2 linked regions of the Notamacropus eugenii genome follow. The protein of the gene in region 1 interacts with the protein of each later gene in a biochemical or structural test. Links are inferred from orthologs where the notes say so. Each region holds a gene or a part of one and is shown on either strand. Other genes may lie near its edges.

Evidence for each region.
Region 2: the proteins of MAVS (region 1) and RNF5 form a complex in vitro, tested with the Homo sapiens proteins (2 studies listed by BioGRID, with this or other methods). The link is inferred for Notamacropus eugenii from reciprocal best matches to the Homo sapiens genes MAVS and RNF5.

The regions. Positions count from the first base shown.
Region 1 is NC_092872.1:735,786,436-735,794,303, reverse strand, and holds the start of MAVS (mitochondrial antiviral-signaling protein), read left to right. Parts: upstream 1-4,854; 5' UTR 4,855-4,985; intron 4,986-5,481; 5' UTR 5,482-5,530; intron 5,531-6,921; 5' UTR 6,922-6,934; coding exon 6,935-7,051; intron 7,052-7,346; coding exon 7,347-7,521; intron 7,522-7,868.
Region 2 is NC_092873.1:85,920,073-85,928,071, reverse strand, and holds the start of RNF5 (E3 ubiquitin-protein ligase RNF5), read right to left. Parts: upstream 3,009-7,999; 5' UTR 2,952-3,008; intron 2,905-2,951; exon of another isoform or gene 2,705-2,904; 5' UTR 2,658-2,704; coding exon of another isoform or gene 2,605-2,657; 5' UTR 2,552-2,604; coding exon 2,412-2,551; intron 1-2,411. Other genes in the region: AGPAT1 (1-acyl-sn-glycerol-3-phosphate acyltransferase alpha), read left to right, coding at 3,737-3,806. UniProt on the Homo sapiens protein: Membrane-bound E3 ubiquitin-protein ligase that mediates ubiquitination of target proteins. May function together with E2 ubiquitin-conjugating enzymes UBE2D1/UBCH5A and UBE2D2/UBC4.

The sequences.
Region 1 (7,868 bases):
GGAAGCTCTTGCCTGTGTAGGATCCTAGGACCTGAGTTATCATCAAATCCAAGTGTTCTTAGCCTGGGCTCTGTGAACATTTATAACTGGGCTTTAGTATAATCGATTTCCTTTGTGACCCCTGGGGGTTTTATATATTTAAAAACATCATTCTGAGAAAGAGTCGAACGCTACCCCAGACTGACTGGCCTGGGGATCTAGAACATAGAAAAGAGGAAAAAAATCTCAACAGTTTATGTCTTTGTTTCACACATGATGCTTCCACAGGTGGATTGACTTGCCCAAATTCAGAGTTGGTAACTGGCAGAGATGGAATGCAAGATGAGCTGCTGTAGCCCCCCGTGCCACGGTCCTTCTGACCCTTGTATGACCTCCTCTTCCAAGCCAGTGACCTGGACTTTCTGGTAGTGATCACAAGCCTTACTGCACTCCTGAAGGGAAGGAGGGAGCAGTTTTAGCTTCCATAACTCTGCTGAGTTGGCAGAAATGTGATTTTAAGTGTATGCCAGGCTGCCTTCCCCAGAGAGCATTCCTTAAGACCAGGGGGGAGAAGGGCTAAAGACAGGAGAAGTAAAGAGCCCCTGGAGAGACAGCAAGAACAAAGTCCCTCCCTGCAATCGAACAGGAAGGGGTCGCTGCCAAAGACCTGGGTTGATTGCCTCACACTTGCCAGCCTGTGACAGGTGTAGACTTCATAGTTCTTAGACCACAAGGACAGCCTTGGGCACTGGGAGCTTTCCTAGTAGTGGGATCTATTCAAACATAAAGGCCTGTGATTTCATTGGTGGGGATGCATCCTCTACCCTCCCAGGTCATAGCTCTCTATACATTTAGTATAAGGGTTTGGGGGCAGTGGCCAAAGCATGTGCCTGTGTAGCCAGTCTGATGAGGAGTATCTCCAGATTTAGCTCTAGCAGGTCCTCAGCTGGCAGGGACAGTCCAGAGCTGAGCTTCTGGATGGAAGCTTTCCTGCCTGTCAGGATCTGCCAGCATTTGGCCTCAACTGGCCAGCCTGGCCTAGGATGCAGGGTCCACTCCACTCCACATTGCCAACAGGCCCAAGAAGAGATTGTGGAGAGTGGGCCAGGGGCCCAAGAAGCCCTTGTAATTGAAGTGAACCACAGGGTTTGCTCAGCATTTTGTCCCAAAGTGCTCCGATGCAGCTCGCCACCTGGATCTTTGGATCTTTAGGAGATTGATTAACAAGTGCTTTTTGGTTGTGTCAGGTTCCATGTCAGGTTCCTCTGAGGAGGAATGACCTATGCATCGATAAGTCTGTAAAGCAAGAGAGCCTTTACTAGCACGAAGCCCAGAAAAGCCTCTGGCAGGTGGGAATGAATTTATTTAGCAAGCACTTGTGTGTGTTTGTCCTTCATTGCTGAAGAAGACCTTGCTATCAGAGAAATAATGACATGACTTGCACTTGACTTTGTTTTGAGTGAGGGAGGGCTGTGCAGGTCACCAGCCTCACTTCTTCTCCAGAGCCACCTGAATCCAGTGAATCCATTCATCAGGATGACTGGAGATGACCCAGGATGAGGCAGTTGGGGTTAAGTGACTTACCCAAGGTCACACAGCTAGTGAGTGTCAAGTGTCTGAGGTGAGACTGGTACTGTATTCACTGTGCCACCTAGCTGCCCCAAAGCAAGCACTTACTGTGTGAGTAGCTGAGCTATAAATGCAGAAACAAAGCAGTGTCTGGAAGGGTGGCCGAATTGATTTGATGGTAATTCATGGCTCCAGAACTTCAGAGGTTCAGCAAAGGAGGAACATATTCATGGTGAGAGGAGGAAGTGAGGTGTAGCCAGGCTGGGGCTTTTCCTGAAATGCCATTCTGGGCTCTGAAGGGGGCTGGGGATCCCAAGAGGTGGAGGGGAGGAAGAGATTGCATTCCAGGCATGAGGGGTGGTTTGTACAAAGGTCCAGAGGGGGTAGATGAATTGTGTGTGCCAGCTAAGGAAGGCTGCTTTCAGCCCGGTCACTCCTCAGTGTCCACCCCAAGGCCCTCTCTTTACTTGATGTCCTTGGCTCTCCAGACTGAACTCTCACCTCTGTGTACAGCCCCAGCTGCACAAGCCCCACATCACCTCTTTTGTGAACTTCTCCAAGTGCATAGGTGGCCTTGAGATAGCTCCAGCACAAAATGTCCAAAACAAAGTCATTTATTAGATCTCAAGGCCCACCTCTTCCTAACTTAGCTAAATCTTGTGGGGAGTGGATGGAGCACTGGATGGGGATTCAGAAAGACCTGAATTTGAAACACGTGCTTAGCTGTGTGACCTGTTTCCTCATCTCCACCTCCACATCAAATCTGGTCCCAAATCTTTTGCATGTTTCTTTCTATTCCACTCCCCAATTTAGTTCCTCATTACTCTTCTCTGAACTATTGCACTAGCCTCCTAATTGGTCTTCCAGCCTCCCTCCCCTCTAGCCTAGCCTCCATACTCTTTGGGGAGCAGTGTTCCTAAGGCGAAGGTCCGGCTCTGTTGTTGTCCTGCTGAATAAAGTCAAGTGTCTCCTCTTAATAGAGAATAAAAAAATGCTTTTCTTGTTTGTGTTTTAGCTGTCCAGATTTATTGAACGTGATTCTACTTTTCAACCAGACTGTCTTGCTGGTTCTTTTGGTTGATGGCATGACATCTGCTTGTCTTTGGACTAGCTTTCCATCCTTCAGGCCCAGCATGTCCTCTGCCCTCTCCTCAGCCTTGCACAGTTCATGCAACACCTTCTACAGAAAGTCCCTGGGTCCTTCCCCAGAATATTGCAGGAAGACTGCCCTTGAGGCCTGTCTGTCTGAATCCTCAGTGACTGGCACAGAACTCAGTGCAAACTTAGTGGTGGATGAAATGTCATCTACTATTATTACTAACTGCTAAGTCCATTCTTGGTCAGTGAATGACCAGAGCCAGATTGTGAAGGGCCTGTAGTGCCAAACAGGGGAGCCAGTGTTTGGGCCACACAATTACGGAGAGCCCTTGGTGTTGGAGCAGGGGAGCAGCATGCTTGTACCTGGGCTTGTCATCTAGGGAAGCCCAGGGAGGACACTGACAGTGGGCCAAGGAATAAGCTATGCGGTTACCCAGCACTTTCCCACCCTGGTTTCCAGTTTCTTCTAGAAAGTAAAGAGATTGTACAAAATAACCTGAGGGAGGCCCCAGATTGGCCTCCCCCACGCTCCACAGCATGGAGCCCAGAGGCAGGCCTTCTTCCTCCCTTCTCCAGCTGGATTCTTCATCACTCCAAGTAGTCTTTTCCTAATGCATAATGTAGTGTGAAAAAGCCATAACTTACATGGAGGATCTGGGTTTGAGTAACTGGTCAGCGACCTGGTGTCAGGAAGACTCATGCCCCTGAGTTCAAACCCAGTCCCTAGCTGTGTGGCTCTGGGCAAGTCACCTCACCTTGTTTGCCTCAGTTTCCTCATCTGTAAAATGAATTTGGTTGTCCATGTGGCCCTTGGATTTTTATCCTAAACCTCCTTTGCCTACTGTACTTCTTGCCCAACGCCTCTGCGTGAGGCTAGATTCTCTTCTTACAACATGTCACAGCAGATCAGATGATGCAGAAACAAGACCCCAACTATTCAGCCAGACGTTCAAGAGCCTCACAACAATCGGTAAAACAATACTCACCAGACAGGTCCTGTTTTGGAAAATAGTTACTATGTTACTTTTAAGTGACTTTCAAAAATGTATTCGCTTTCCAGTATGGTCAATATCAATAGATACAACCCACCTTAACAAAACTTTTGGGTCCTCGGCAATTTTTAAAAGTAAATATATCCTGAGACCGAGAAATTTGAGAACTGAGCTCGATCCTAGGCCACTTGTAAGGGAAGAAGGGAAAAGAAACAAGCGTTTCCCGTTTCTCCTCCGTGTGCCCGGCACTGCTAAGCGCTTTCAGGAATACTGTCTCCTTTGATCCTCACATCAGCCTGGGAAGTGGGGGCCGGGGTGCTTAGGGGGACCGAGGCCGAGGGCCGGTGCCTTGCCCCGGGTCTGAGGATCCAGGTGCTCTCGCGTCTCCAGCGCAAGGCCCTCTAGCGCCACCTAGGAGCACCGGGGCACCTTCGCGGGCGACCTCGGACCCTGGCTCTGCGTTCTCCAGTGCTCGTCGGTTTAGAACGTGCGCTGGGGCGGGATTCACTCCTTCATTCCACGGACGCGGAATAAGGCGCCTGCCTGTGCCTCGGCCCGCCTTCGGAGGGGGACAGCGGGGTGCAGACCCGGCTGGCGGGGCCCGGGCTCTTCTCCTCCTCCTCCCACCAGCCAGGGCTGGACACGCCCTCCGCACCGAAGGAGCAGAGGCGACCTGGCCTGCCTTCCTCCCCGGGACAGTTAGAGAGCAGTCGGAGGACGGGAGCACGGGGACAGCCCCTGAAGAGCGACTCCCCTCCCCCCATGGCCTGTGCTGTGGCCAAGGACCCCCCTCCCTGGGCGACGGCTCCCCGCTCCCCCCGCAGTACTTGGCCTTCCTCCTCTGTCCGTTTTTGGGGTAACTTGTTGCCCCGAGACGCGCCGGATGGCGCCTGGCAGGGCCTGTTGACTCCTTTTCCTGTCAAATTTGGTCAAATCATTGCAGTCCTCTCCCCCGACCCCCTCCCTCCTTCCCCGACCCCCTCCCTCCTTCCCCCGACCCCCCCTTCCCCCGACCCTCTCCCTCCTTTCCCCGGCCTCCTTCCTTCCTTCCCCTCTCTCCTCCCACCCTTTCCTCCCTCTTTCCCCTCCCCTCCCTCCCCTCCCCCCTCTCGCTCCAGGCCCCGCCCCCTCGCCCCGCCGGCCAATAGGCGGGCGCCGCGAGGGCGGGCGCGAGCCTGGGCCTGGTCCTGCCCCCGCCTGCCGCCCCCGTGCTCGGCTCCGCTCGGGCGCTGCGGGCGCCTCCGCCTTTTCCCGGGGCAGCCTCAGAGCCTGGGCCGCTGCGCCAGAGCCGTCGCCAGCCTCGGCTGGACCGGACCGGAGCGGAGCTGAGCGGGGCTCTGCCCGCAGGTAGGCGGGGCGGCGTCTCGGGGACCCCCTCCGGGCCGCCCTGGAGGTCAAGGGCAGGGGAGAAAGGAGGGGGAGGAGCGGGCCTTGGGGGTAGGGCCGGTGCGCGGCTCGTCTGCCCTTGACCGTGGTCCTTGGGCGGGGGAGGGGAGGGGCAGCCTCGGAGTGCAGCAGGTGGGAGAGGAGGGGACTGAGGCTGGAGGGAGGGCGGGGGGGGGGGGGGGGGGGAGGGGGGCGGCTGGTCCACGTGGCCCAGACCGGGCACCTGCCCGCGGTCCGAGCCGTGACCTGGGCAGGGGCCGAGGACAGGAGTGTTTGTTTGGGGCCGTAGCCTGGTGACTCTGACCAGGTGCCCACAGATGCCGAGACCTCGTGGGGGAAGGGCACCCCCCTCCGCCCCGGGGCAGGGTCAGGCCGGGAGCAGAGGGGCCCCAGAAGGGCTCTCCCAACCCTGACACCCCGGGCCCCCTCCCCAATATCCCCTTCTCTCCGTCCTTAGGTGGCAGTGCTCGCTGCTGGAGCCATCAGAAGTGCCCTTCTGTGCTGAGGTAACTAGGACCTTCTGGAGATAAGACTTTACTCCCAAAGGAGTGAAGCTCTAATGGTGCATTGTACTGCCGCTGAATCACAACATTTGCCCAATTCTCTCATGCCATTCTTGGAAAGGGAGCCATGGATTAAATGATGGTCGGGTGAAGTGAATTCAGAACTAGTGAAGTGGTCCGGCACAAAGGATAGTCATTAATGGCCCGGTGGGAGAGGGGAGGGAGGTCACCAGTGCTCCAGGCCACCGGATCTTCGCTCGATCCTGTGCTGTGATGAAGGGATAGATTTTGCATCAGACTTGCAGGTGACACAATGCTGGAAGGGATGGGCATGGACTGGAACGTTAGACCTCCTAAGGATAAATGATGTTTTACACCTGGGCTCAAAAAGCACCGAGACAAGAAGAGGAATGGCTGGGCAAAAGTTTCATTGATAACTATATGGGGTACATCAGCTAGGAAAGCTGTGTTCTCCAAGAGAGCACTGGGGCAGTATTGTGTGGGCTGCAGGCTGTACTTTAGGAAGGAGGGTGGAACAGGGAGGGTGACCAAGATGTGATAGCCTCAAGATCATGGCACAGGAACAGGGTCTGTGCTGTAAAGAGGAGACTTGGCAGACACTGTCTATGGACCCCAGAAGGAAGAACTCAGAAGGATGGGCAGACGTTACCAAGAAGCGTTTTTAGATCTGATGTCAGGAAAACCATGCTAACAGAGCTGCCTCCTCAGGCTGTCATGGGTTCTCCTCTACAGAGAGTCTCCAAGGGAAGGCCGGGTGACACCTTGTCCAGATTCTTATTCAGGTGTTGGTTGGACTAGATGGCCTCTGAGGTTCCTTCCAACTCCGACATTCTGTAATTGGTTTGAAAGGGATCAGAGGTCATTTGGTCCATCCCTCTGCCTCCAAACCAGACTTCCCAACCAACTTGGACTGCATTGGATTATGGAAAGTCCTCAGGAGAAGAGAAAACCAGTCTCCCTGATCACCCTTGCTCATTGAAAAGGGGGAGCCTGGGTTTGGCTGCCCCACCGGTGTCTGTCAGATGACAGTCGCAAGCCTTCCTTTCTCCCTCCATCTTTCCAAATGCAAGAAGCCTCCGTGGTTCTATGGCCCCACTGATTTTTCCTCCATCTTCTGAAGAATTCTCCATCTCTGCTGGCGCTCTACTTGATGGCCATTGCTGGGCCAGTACGCTGTCCTCACTCACTTTAGAAACTGAAAGGAACTTAGCTCATGTTATTCAGGTTCCCACCCCTACCACATCTCCCTGAGAGGGAAAAGAGAATGAACTTCCCCAAGGTCACACAGATAATGAGTGGCAGGGCCAGGAGTCAGCCCCAGTCCTTCTGCCTCCACATTCTTCACACCACAGACTCATTCCTTTCCCCTTCAGGCCCTGAGTGACCATGCCTCTGGCTGAGGACCGAACTGAGCAGTACATTCGCTTCCACCTCAGTGACTTCTTCCGCATTGATGTCTTGGAGATCCTGTCCCACCTGCCCTGCCTCACCGTTGCTGACCAAGTAGGTGATATAGCAGAGGCAGTTTTCACCCTGAAGCTTCCTCTCCTCCTCTCCCCTTATCAGCTAGATGCAGAGGATACTCACACCCTCTGGGACACCTGCATCCTCTCCCCTGCTCCCTTACCCTTGCTCTCAAGGCCCCTGCCCTAGCCTATCCCAGACTTGTACCCTAGCTACAGAAGCTCTTCATAGTGTGTCAATCCCTTCTTTCTCCTCTCTGGGGGCTCAGAGGCTGCCACAGTCCTAGCTTGGGAGGTGAGCTCTCTGAAGCCATGGTCACAACTTTCTCTTCCAGGACCAGCTCCGTGCCTACATTGACCGTCATGGAAACCGTGACAGTGTGTGGAAGCTCTTTGATCACCTTCGTAAGCGCAATGGCTGGGTGACCTGTCTCATCACAGCCCTGAAGGAATGCGAGCTGACGGACCTCGCTGATGTCATTGCTAATGTCTATGCATCTAACCAGGCCCGTGAGTGCCCTTCCTTTTGTCTTCTTGCACTGGGAGGTCACTGAGCACCTCCCCCAGCCTTGGTGTGTCTATGCCTCAGCACCTTTCCTCCCTTCTCACCCTCTCATCTGCTCTCTCTCCACCTCCACATGTGTGTGTGTGTATGTGTTTATTCTATCTGTTTATCCTCTCTATCATTTCTATTGAACATCTTGTCTATTACATCCTTCTGTCTGTCTTTCTATTCATTCCACAAGTGTCTGTTAAGCTGCCTGGCCTGGCAGCTGGGTGGTGCAGTGGATAGAACACAGGGCCTGGAATCAGGCAGGATCATCTTCCTGAGTTCAAATCTGGCCTCAGACACTTGC
Region 2 (7,999 bases), on another chromosome or scaffold:
TCACATCAAACTGATCTCTCAAAGTGACATTAAAAAATGCAATAGCTCAGTTACACTAAGTAAGCCCAGGGTACCTATCTCCTCCCTTGACTTCAGAGACACCACACACCCCTGATTTTCCTCCTACCTCTAATAATGCCTTCTTTGTCTTCTTTGCTGGCTCCTCTTCCCAACCCTTCAAGGTAAATTCTGTTCTTGGCCCTCTTCTCTCACCTTTGGCAATTTTAATCACTCATGGCTTAAGCTATCACCTCTACAAGACCGATCCCCAAATCCATATCTCCAGCCCTGGTATCTCTTCCTTAACTATATCTACAACTACACAAATAGCTCTGCATCTGCCTATCAGACCAAAATTTCCAATTCAATGATTTTTAGTTAAATCTAAGTTCATTTATGTAGCAGAAACAGATTTAAAGTCAAAGGAATCAGGTTTGAATCTGTGCTGGCCTGTTTTCTGTGAAACTCTGCGCAAGACATTTGACTTAACTGTATCTGTTTCCTTATCAGTAAAACGAGACTTGAACTAAATGATTTCTAAGGTCCTTTCAGCTGTAAATCCCATGATCCTATCTTCCCCCCCAAACCTGTAGATTTCACTAAATCTGTCAATGTCATTCATACAGTCTCCCGTATTCAAAATTAGAATTCCTTTTTATCACCTGTCATATCCAATCAGTAAACAAGTGCTACTGACTTTTACATCTATACCTTTTCTTTCAACAATGCCCTCCTCTTTATTGCCATTACTTCCCTCAATACAGATTGTTCTCCCACTTCCAGCCATCTATCCTCCTACTACTACAGACCAGTCTTCTACTGGTCACTACTCTGCTCAAAAATTTTTAGTGGCTCCCTAAAACCTCTGCCTGGAATTCAAGGATTTCTACAGTTTGGAAACAACCTATCTTTCCAATCTAATCTCACTGCATTACCTTCTGTGTACTCTAGTCTCCAGCAAAACTAGACTGCTAGCTATCACAGCTCTACATATTTGCTCACCCTATCCCATAGGCCTCTAAGTTCAACTACTGGAATGACTACTTATTTTTAAAACCCAACACCCGCCTTCACTTACTGTCACCCTCCAGCAATAACACATTCACATAGCACTTTGTTTTGAACTTCTCATGCACTCTTCATATATAATTTGTATATTATTTCATATAATATCCGCATGCATGTCATATCCCCCTGGAAGCTCCATGAAATCAGGAACCATGTCTTTTCTAAACTTTGTATCTCCCCCAACACCTACCTACTAACATGTTACTCTGAACATTGTGGATATTTAATAATTATTTATTCAGTTGTTATCCCTCCTTATTAATATAGATTAGTTGTGCATCCCAGGTGTGTCATTTTTTTCCCCATTCCCCTCCACTGGAGTACAGGTGTGTATATGTCTGTATTCTCAGCTATCAAAGCAAAGATATGTGATCCCAAGCTGTCAACAGCTCTACTAGTATGTGCGTATGTGTGTGTGTATACACACACATATATACATATATATGTATACATATAAAGTTGTCAGTAAAACATATGTATGTGTGAATGTCCCAGGGCACTGGGAAATGTCTGTGGGTGTGTATGCATTTCCTGATGCTGTCAGCATTATTTAGACAGGGATGCAGCTAGGAGTAGGATATATCTCTTAGAATATGTATTTCATATATATATATGTATATAGAGAGAGCAAGAGAGATACACACATACATACATATATCACACACCAGTATAAAAGTGTGTGTGTGTTTTCATGATATTCTCACCAGTGAAGATATAAGATTTGTAGGTGGGTATCCTGGGGCTGTTGACAGTACAGGTAGGACTCTGGGTGGGAATATCCTGAGGTTCTCATCAGTACTAATACAGTACTAAAACATATGTGTCTGTCTCCTGGAGCTCTCACATCAGTACCAGGAAGAATGTGTGTTGTGGATGTGCTGCAATCCCGTGTCAACATAAGACTAATGACAGTGTGGCCAGTACATATTAGAGGAGTATATATGCCTGTCTCCTAAGGCTCTCTCCATTAGGAATATGTGTGTGTATGTATTTATATATGTAGTGTGTGTGTGTATGTGTGTGGGCATATGTATCCCAGAATGGGTGTATATTGGGAATGGGGTGGGGGTAGTTTCTGGGGTCCAAGAGAGGCTGAGAGCTATGCACGTGTCCCAGAGTTCTCTCCAGTAAAGAGGTGAGTGTGTGGGAGGGTATGGGAGAGAGGAGTGTTCCGGGGCCCTCACTAGTACAGGGGTAGAGAGTGTGTACCTGAGTGTGTGTGTCTGTGTGTGAGGGTGCGTGTCCCGGGGCTCTGGTGGAGGTATGAGTACATGTCCCGGGGTTCTCACCACTACGGTGGGAGTGGGGGTGTGGGGTGTGGGGGTGTGTCCCGGGGCTCTCACCAGTACAGGTGGCCGCACATACTGACCACCGCCTCCCGCGCTGTCTCCAGACAGATGTTACACTCGAAGGCCGCACCTGCCCCTCCCCGGTCGCGGTTTGGCCCTTCGGAGCCCCCGTCCTCCTTCCTGGCCGCTGCCATGGCCCCTCAACTGTTGCCCCCGCAACCCAGGTCTTCCCCCACGAAACACATACACAAGCCCCGATGGTCCGAAAAGCCCGCCCCCCTGCTCGCGCCCATTGGTCATCCGTCAAGGTCTTCGAGACTCCATTGGTGATCCTGCCCACCAGTCACCTAGGGTTCGGAAGGAAAGGATTGGACGACAGTCTGGGGAGGGAGAGGCACGTATTGCCCCGCCCTTGAACAGTGATTATTGGCCAAGGTAGTCGCCAGTCAAGAGGCTGCGTCATAGGATTAGCCGTAAAACGCGCCCTGGCAGACCCCATTGTCCGCGGTGAAGGAGGGTCCACCCTGTCATCACCATTATTTGTCCCCCATTGCTAAGTGTCGTGCTGAACTGGCTCCAGGACGTAGATTCTACCTACTAATAACCTATCCAACTTCCGCCCCCGTCCTTTCTTCACTTCCTCTTCTCTTGAAAAGGATCCTCCTCGAGATCCTATTGGACTAGGAACGCGCAAGTTCCGAAGCAGCCGGTTGGCTAGGAGATGGTCGCAAGCGCGCACGTGAGGGATAGGACGGACCTATCCGGAGGAGGCTTTGCTTCTCGGGACCCGCCCCTTCCTCGCCGTCTTCTTGTCGCTATAGCTCCCGGATCGCAATTGGTCCTGACTTGGCCACCACCCTAGCCTTAAGTTCCTTCCCCCCTCGTCCCTTGCACCCAACCCTCGAATTTGATTGGTTACTCTAGACCTCGAAGATTAGGATTGGGAGCAAAGAGACATATGCTAGTCACCGGGTTCAAAATGGCTTCCGCCGTTTCGGTGACGTAAGAAACCGAATCTGAGTTCGCCCGGCGCCCTTTACAAAGATGTCGGGCCAGGAGAAGGGCGATTGGCCCCATGTCCGTGACGTCACAGATCCATCTCCTGGCTTATAACCCCCTTCCCTCCCCACCCCCATCCCACGAGCGCACACGCACTCGGTCCCCTTTAGTCTTAGCCGACCCACGGAGCGGAACTCGACTCTCCAGGTTCCTTTCTTCGATGACGCACAGAGCAGAAATGAATTTCGCTCCAGTTCAACTTGTGTGCTGCCGTGGAAAAAGAGAGCCGAATTTGGAGTGAGAGAACCTGGGTTCAAACCCTAGCCCAGGCTCTGACTGTTTGGGTGAGCCCAGGAGTCACTGGACTTCCCCCAGATCCAATGTCGTCGTCAGCTGTGGAAAGAGGGGCTGGACGGTCTTGTCTCCATCATGCTTTGGATGATCTCCAAGGTCCTGTCTAGTTGCGATACTCTTACTGTTTCTGCCATGATCTGCAGGGCTAGAATTAGACCCGCCCCTTCCTCCCTGTGACCTACCAAGCAGAACTGGGGTCTTCTTCCTGGGCAGGGTGCCCTTCCCCTACCTGCTCCGGCTCAGCGTGGCCCAGGTGCCTGGTGCAGGCAGCCAGGCTTGGGCAAGTGAGTCTCCCTCCTCCTTGTGGCCCAAGCACAGCAACCTGGTAATAGCCCACCCTTTCTCCCCCTGCTCTCACCCATCCCATCTCCAGTCTCTCTCCTCCAACCCTGGCTTGAAGGCGTAGCCAGTGAGAGACTTAGGTTAATTGTGTGTGTGTGTGTTGGGGGGGGGTGTTGGAGGGATGGAGAGGGAGAGGCAGTAGAGAAGCTTGTGATCTCCACCCAGCTGTTGTCTCCCTAGGCATCAGTTTCCTTGGGTCTTTGTAAAATGAGGGTAGGTGGTCTCCAAGGCTGCCTCCAGCTCCGACATTCTATGTTCTATGGTTCTATGGGAGAGAGGACACAGACCAGACAGGGGCCCTCAGAGGGAAACCAAGACAGCTGGGGGCAAGAATCCAGGAGAACCACAACATCTGGAGGGAACTGGAAAGTAAAAAGAAAGCAGGAAAGGGCTATCCCCAAGTTGATGGAGCTGGTTAGTTGAAGGTAGGGCTCTTATCAGAGAGGGAGAAAACAGGGCCAGGAGACACATCAAGGAAAAGAAGGGAAGGTGGTGGCAGTGTTTTTTGAAAGAGATAGAAAGGAGAGTTGAGTGAAAGGGATGAGGCTGAGGCAGTAGAGGAGTGCCAAGTGGGATGAAATAAGTGTGGGAAGCCAGGGCTAGGGATGTAGTTGAGCTTCCAGAAAACAAGTGTTAGAAACTGGGAATGACAACCTTAAGGAGTTAGTGTCGGCTCCCCATTCCACCCCAAGCTGCATGGTCTGCCCATAGAAGGAAGGAATAATGGTGACCTGATCTCAGTGGTGGAGAAAGCATATACAATTCATCTTTGGGATGACAGGGCAGCCTGGCTAAAGAAGAGAGACCCTGTGGGAAAGGTGCTAGGAAGGGAAGAGAGAAGAGAATTGGGGAATTAAGAAAAGGAGGAGGTCGGCAAGGAAGGTAGAAGGATCAGAGAAGAGGGCAAGATGAAGGAAGGGGAGGACCTGGCTAGTGTTCTGAGAGACCATAGTGAGATAATGGGGAGTAGGGAAGAGGTCAGCCACGAGACAGGGAAAAGATTAGGAGGCACAAAGAGAGATAAGGATGGGAGAGGCCAAGATGAAGTTGAAAGGGCGAGGCAGCTAATAAAAAAGGATGATGAGTAGTGAGAAGCAGAGGAATGGAAGAATTGGGAAAGAGAAAAGGGAGCCTAAAGGACAGAGAGAAGAAAGCTGAGAGAAGTGGAAGGAGGGAGATAGAAGAGCAGGGAAAGCCGGGAAGGACTGGAACCAGAGCCAGAAAAAAAACAGGTTATGAAAGATAGACAGCTGGAAGGAGTAAGGCAGAAGCCTCAGCAGGAGGAGCTAGCAGGAAAAAGATGAGGCAGGGAGGGCTAAAAGCTGGAGGGAGGGAATGCTTGGGTCCCTGTCCAGGCTATTGGCAAGACAGCCCGCCTGTCACCACCCCCCACTTCCTGGCCGGCCCCGGAAACAAGCAGGCGTTGGTGGGGAGGGGGGGGCGGCAGCAGCAGCAGCTTCGGCAGCCCCAGCCCTCCGAGAGAGAGACAGCAGTAAGGGAGGGAGGGAGAGAGCGGGGAACACCCCCCCTCCCACCATTCTCACCACTATGGGTCCGGCCCCCCACTCCCACAGCCCCTCCACCAGCCGGGGCTAGGACACCCCCAAACCCTGAGGGCCCCCTGGCACCGACTCCCCACCAGAGACAGAGACACAGCCGCCACCACCGCTGCCGCAGCCTGGCTGGGGAGGGGGCCGGCCCCCTAGGCCCCCTACCCCACTGAGGTGGGGGAGGGATGGAACTGGGGAAGGGGGGTGAGAGATGGGTCGGGGGAGGAGGGAGCTGGGAGGTCATGGAGGTGGAGAATGGGGTCTGGGGAGAGAGAGTGTAAGGTAGACTTGGGAGAGGAGCCGCTGGGAAAGATGGAGAGAATCCAGACAGAGAGAAAAGGGATGGAGGAGGGAGGGGCTGAGGCCTGGTGAGTGGGGGGCTGGCCTAATTAAGGGGATAGTGATGGGGATAGTGATGGGGTGAGTGAGGATGAGGAGTACTGGTGAGGGGAGAGAGGAATTCGCTACACCCCACCCCCAGTTCCTCTTTCTGCCCCTTGTATCTCTTGGAAGGAGTGTAGATTATAAACTACATTCCTGACTCCTCCTCCAAGAGAATATTGGTTGCTAGGATCATACCAGGACACCCCTCTATTTCCATGCACAGAGCCTAAGGTCTCTACATATCCTGTGTGCATGTTAGGCCCTTCCTGACACACGTGTGTCTTGTGTGTTACCTTGTTTTCTCCATTGAGTGTGCATGCTTTAGACAGTGGGCTGTGTTGGTTGAATATGTTCCCATATGATCCATGGTCATGGCAAATGTCCTCACATTAGCTGGATGTTGTATCCATTCCCCTTTGGGAAGGCTGGCTATAGTGCAATATGGCCTGTCCCTTGTGTCATATCCATTTGGAGTATAATGTACATACCCTACGCATCTGTATGTTCAAATGTTGCCTACTTTCTCAGATCTTTCTGTTGCATATTAGTTGTGTGTTTCTGTTCATGTGCTTTGCCAGTGATCGTCACTGCCAAGGTAGTTGTCTTCACATGTTCTGTTTGTACGCTGTGCCTATGGTGTTTTGTTTTGGTTCATTTGCTGAATCTGTGATTCTTGTCCCTTGGGGTTGCCTTCAGGTAGCTGATTCCATGATTTTATTTATTCTTAACACAGATCTTCATGGTGTATTAATCCACTTTACTGCATGTGTTTTGCTAAGGAAGTCCTAGCATTGCTTGAGCACTTATGTCTTATGTTCTACTGGCATTGCATTTCTGTTCATATAACATCTATTTCACCATTTCCTTCCTGTAATGTTTTATAAATCACATGTTTATGTAACACATCTGGCAATCTCATATGGTTGGATATCCTCTGGATATCCTTAGATATGTGTGTTCCTGAGGAAATCACATATACATAGCCCCTGTAGAGGGTAACGGACCTCCAGACACACAGAAAACCCATAGCATTTGCATATATATTTGCATGTCCTTCCTATGTTTGGCCTGGCCCATATGTCTATGTAACATCCATAGTACCGCTATATTTTGTCACTGTGTACTCATATGACATGTGAATGAGTACATGTGTTACAGGCTCTCATCTATGTCCATGTTTTTATTAATGTTGAACGTTCATCCCACAGCTTCCATCATTTGCATGACTAATGATTTGGCATGTTATTTTCACCCCAGGCATGTTACCACCACTCTGTATGTTTCTTCACTGCATTTTTGTGTTATCTGCATATGATTTACATTCACTGTATTCATTTCTTTATTATGTCATTATCCTTCTGCCTCTTCACGTTATTGAATTTTCCCCTGTACACTTTCCCATTCCCTTTCCAGCGGTCATGACATCCCCATGATTTCTGTGTTCCTGCCAACAGCATAGCATGTTGGGCATGTGCTTGGAGTACATCATATTTCTTGTGAGAAGCAGTATCCCTGGGGCTACACTGTATTAAATACCTATTGTTTTTGTTATCAACAGCGTGAGCATGTCTTCATTCTTGTCTTCTTCACGTGGGTGTGTGTGTGTGTATGTGTATGTGAGAGTTCAGAGGATTGTTACACATGGGGGTTGACTTCTGTTAACACCATCATTTCTTCACTTCCAAGGTCTACTTACTCTCTGACCTGTTTATCACCACCCTGCCCTCTACTTGTTCTCTCCATTTGTGTTTACCTTTTAAGTATCTATTTCATATGGCCTCAATCAGATGTGCTGCTATCATACTTGACTCAATTAAGCAAATACGTATTGTGTGCTTAGTATTATTACCATCCTGTGCATGAGATCTTCATGTTTCAGGGAAGGAAAGAGGGGTAGGTAATGTACTGTAAGCATCTTGTGTATGTTCCTGTTCACAGATGGCTTCTCTGCCAGGCCACTTGAAAATGTGTATGTGTTTGTCACATGTTTTTTCCTTGTGATGTTATCACACT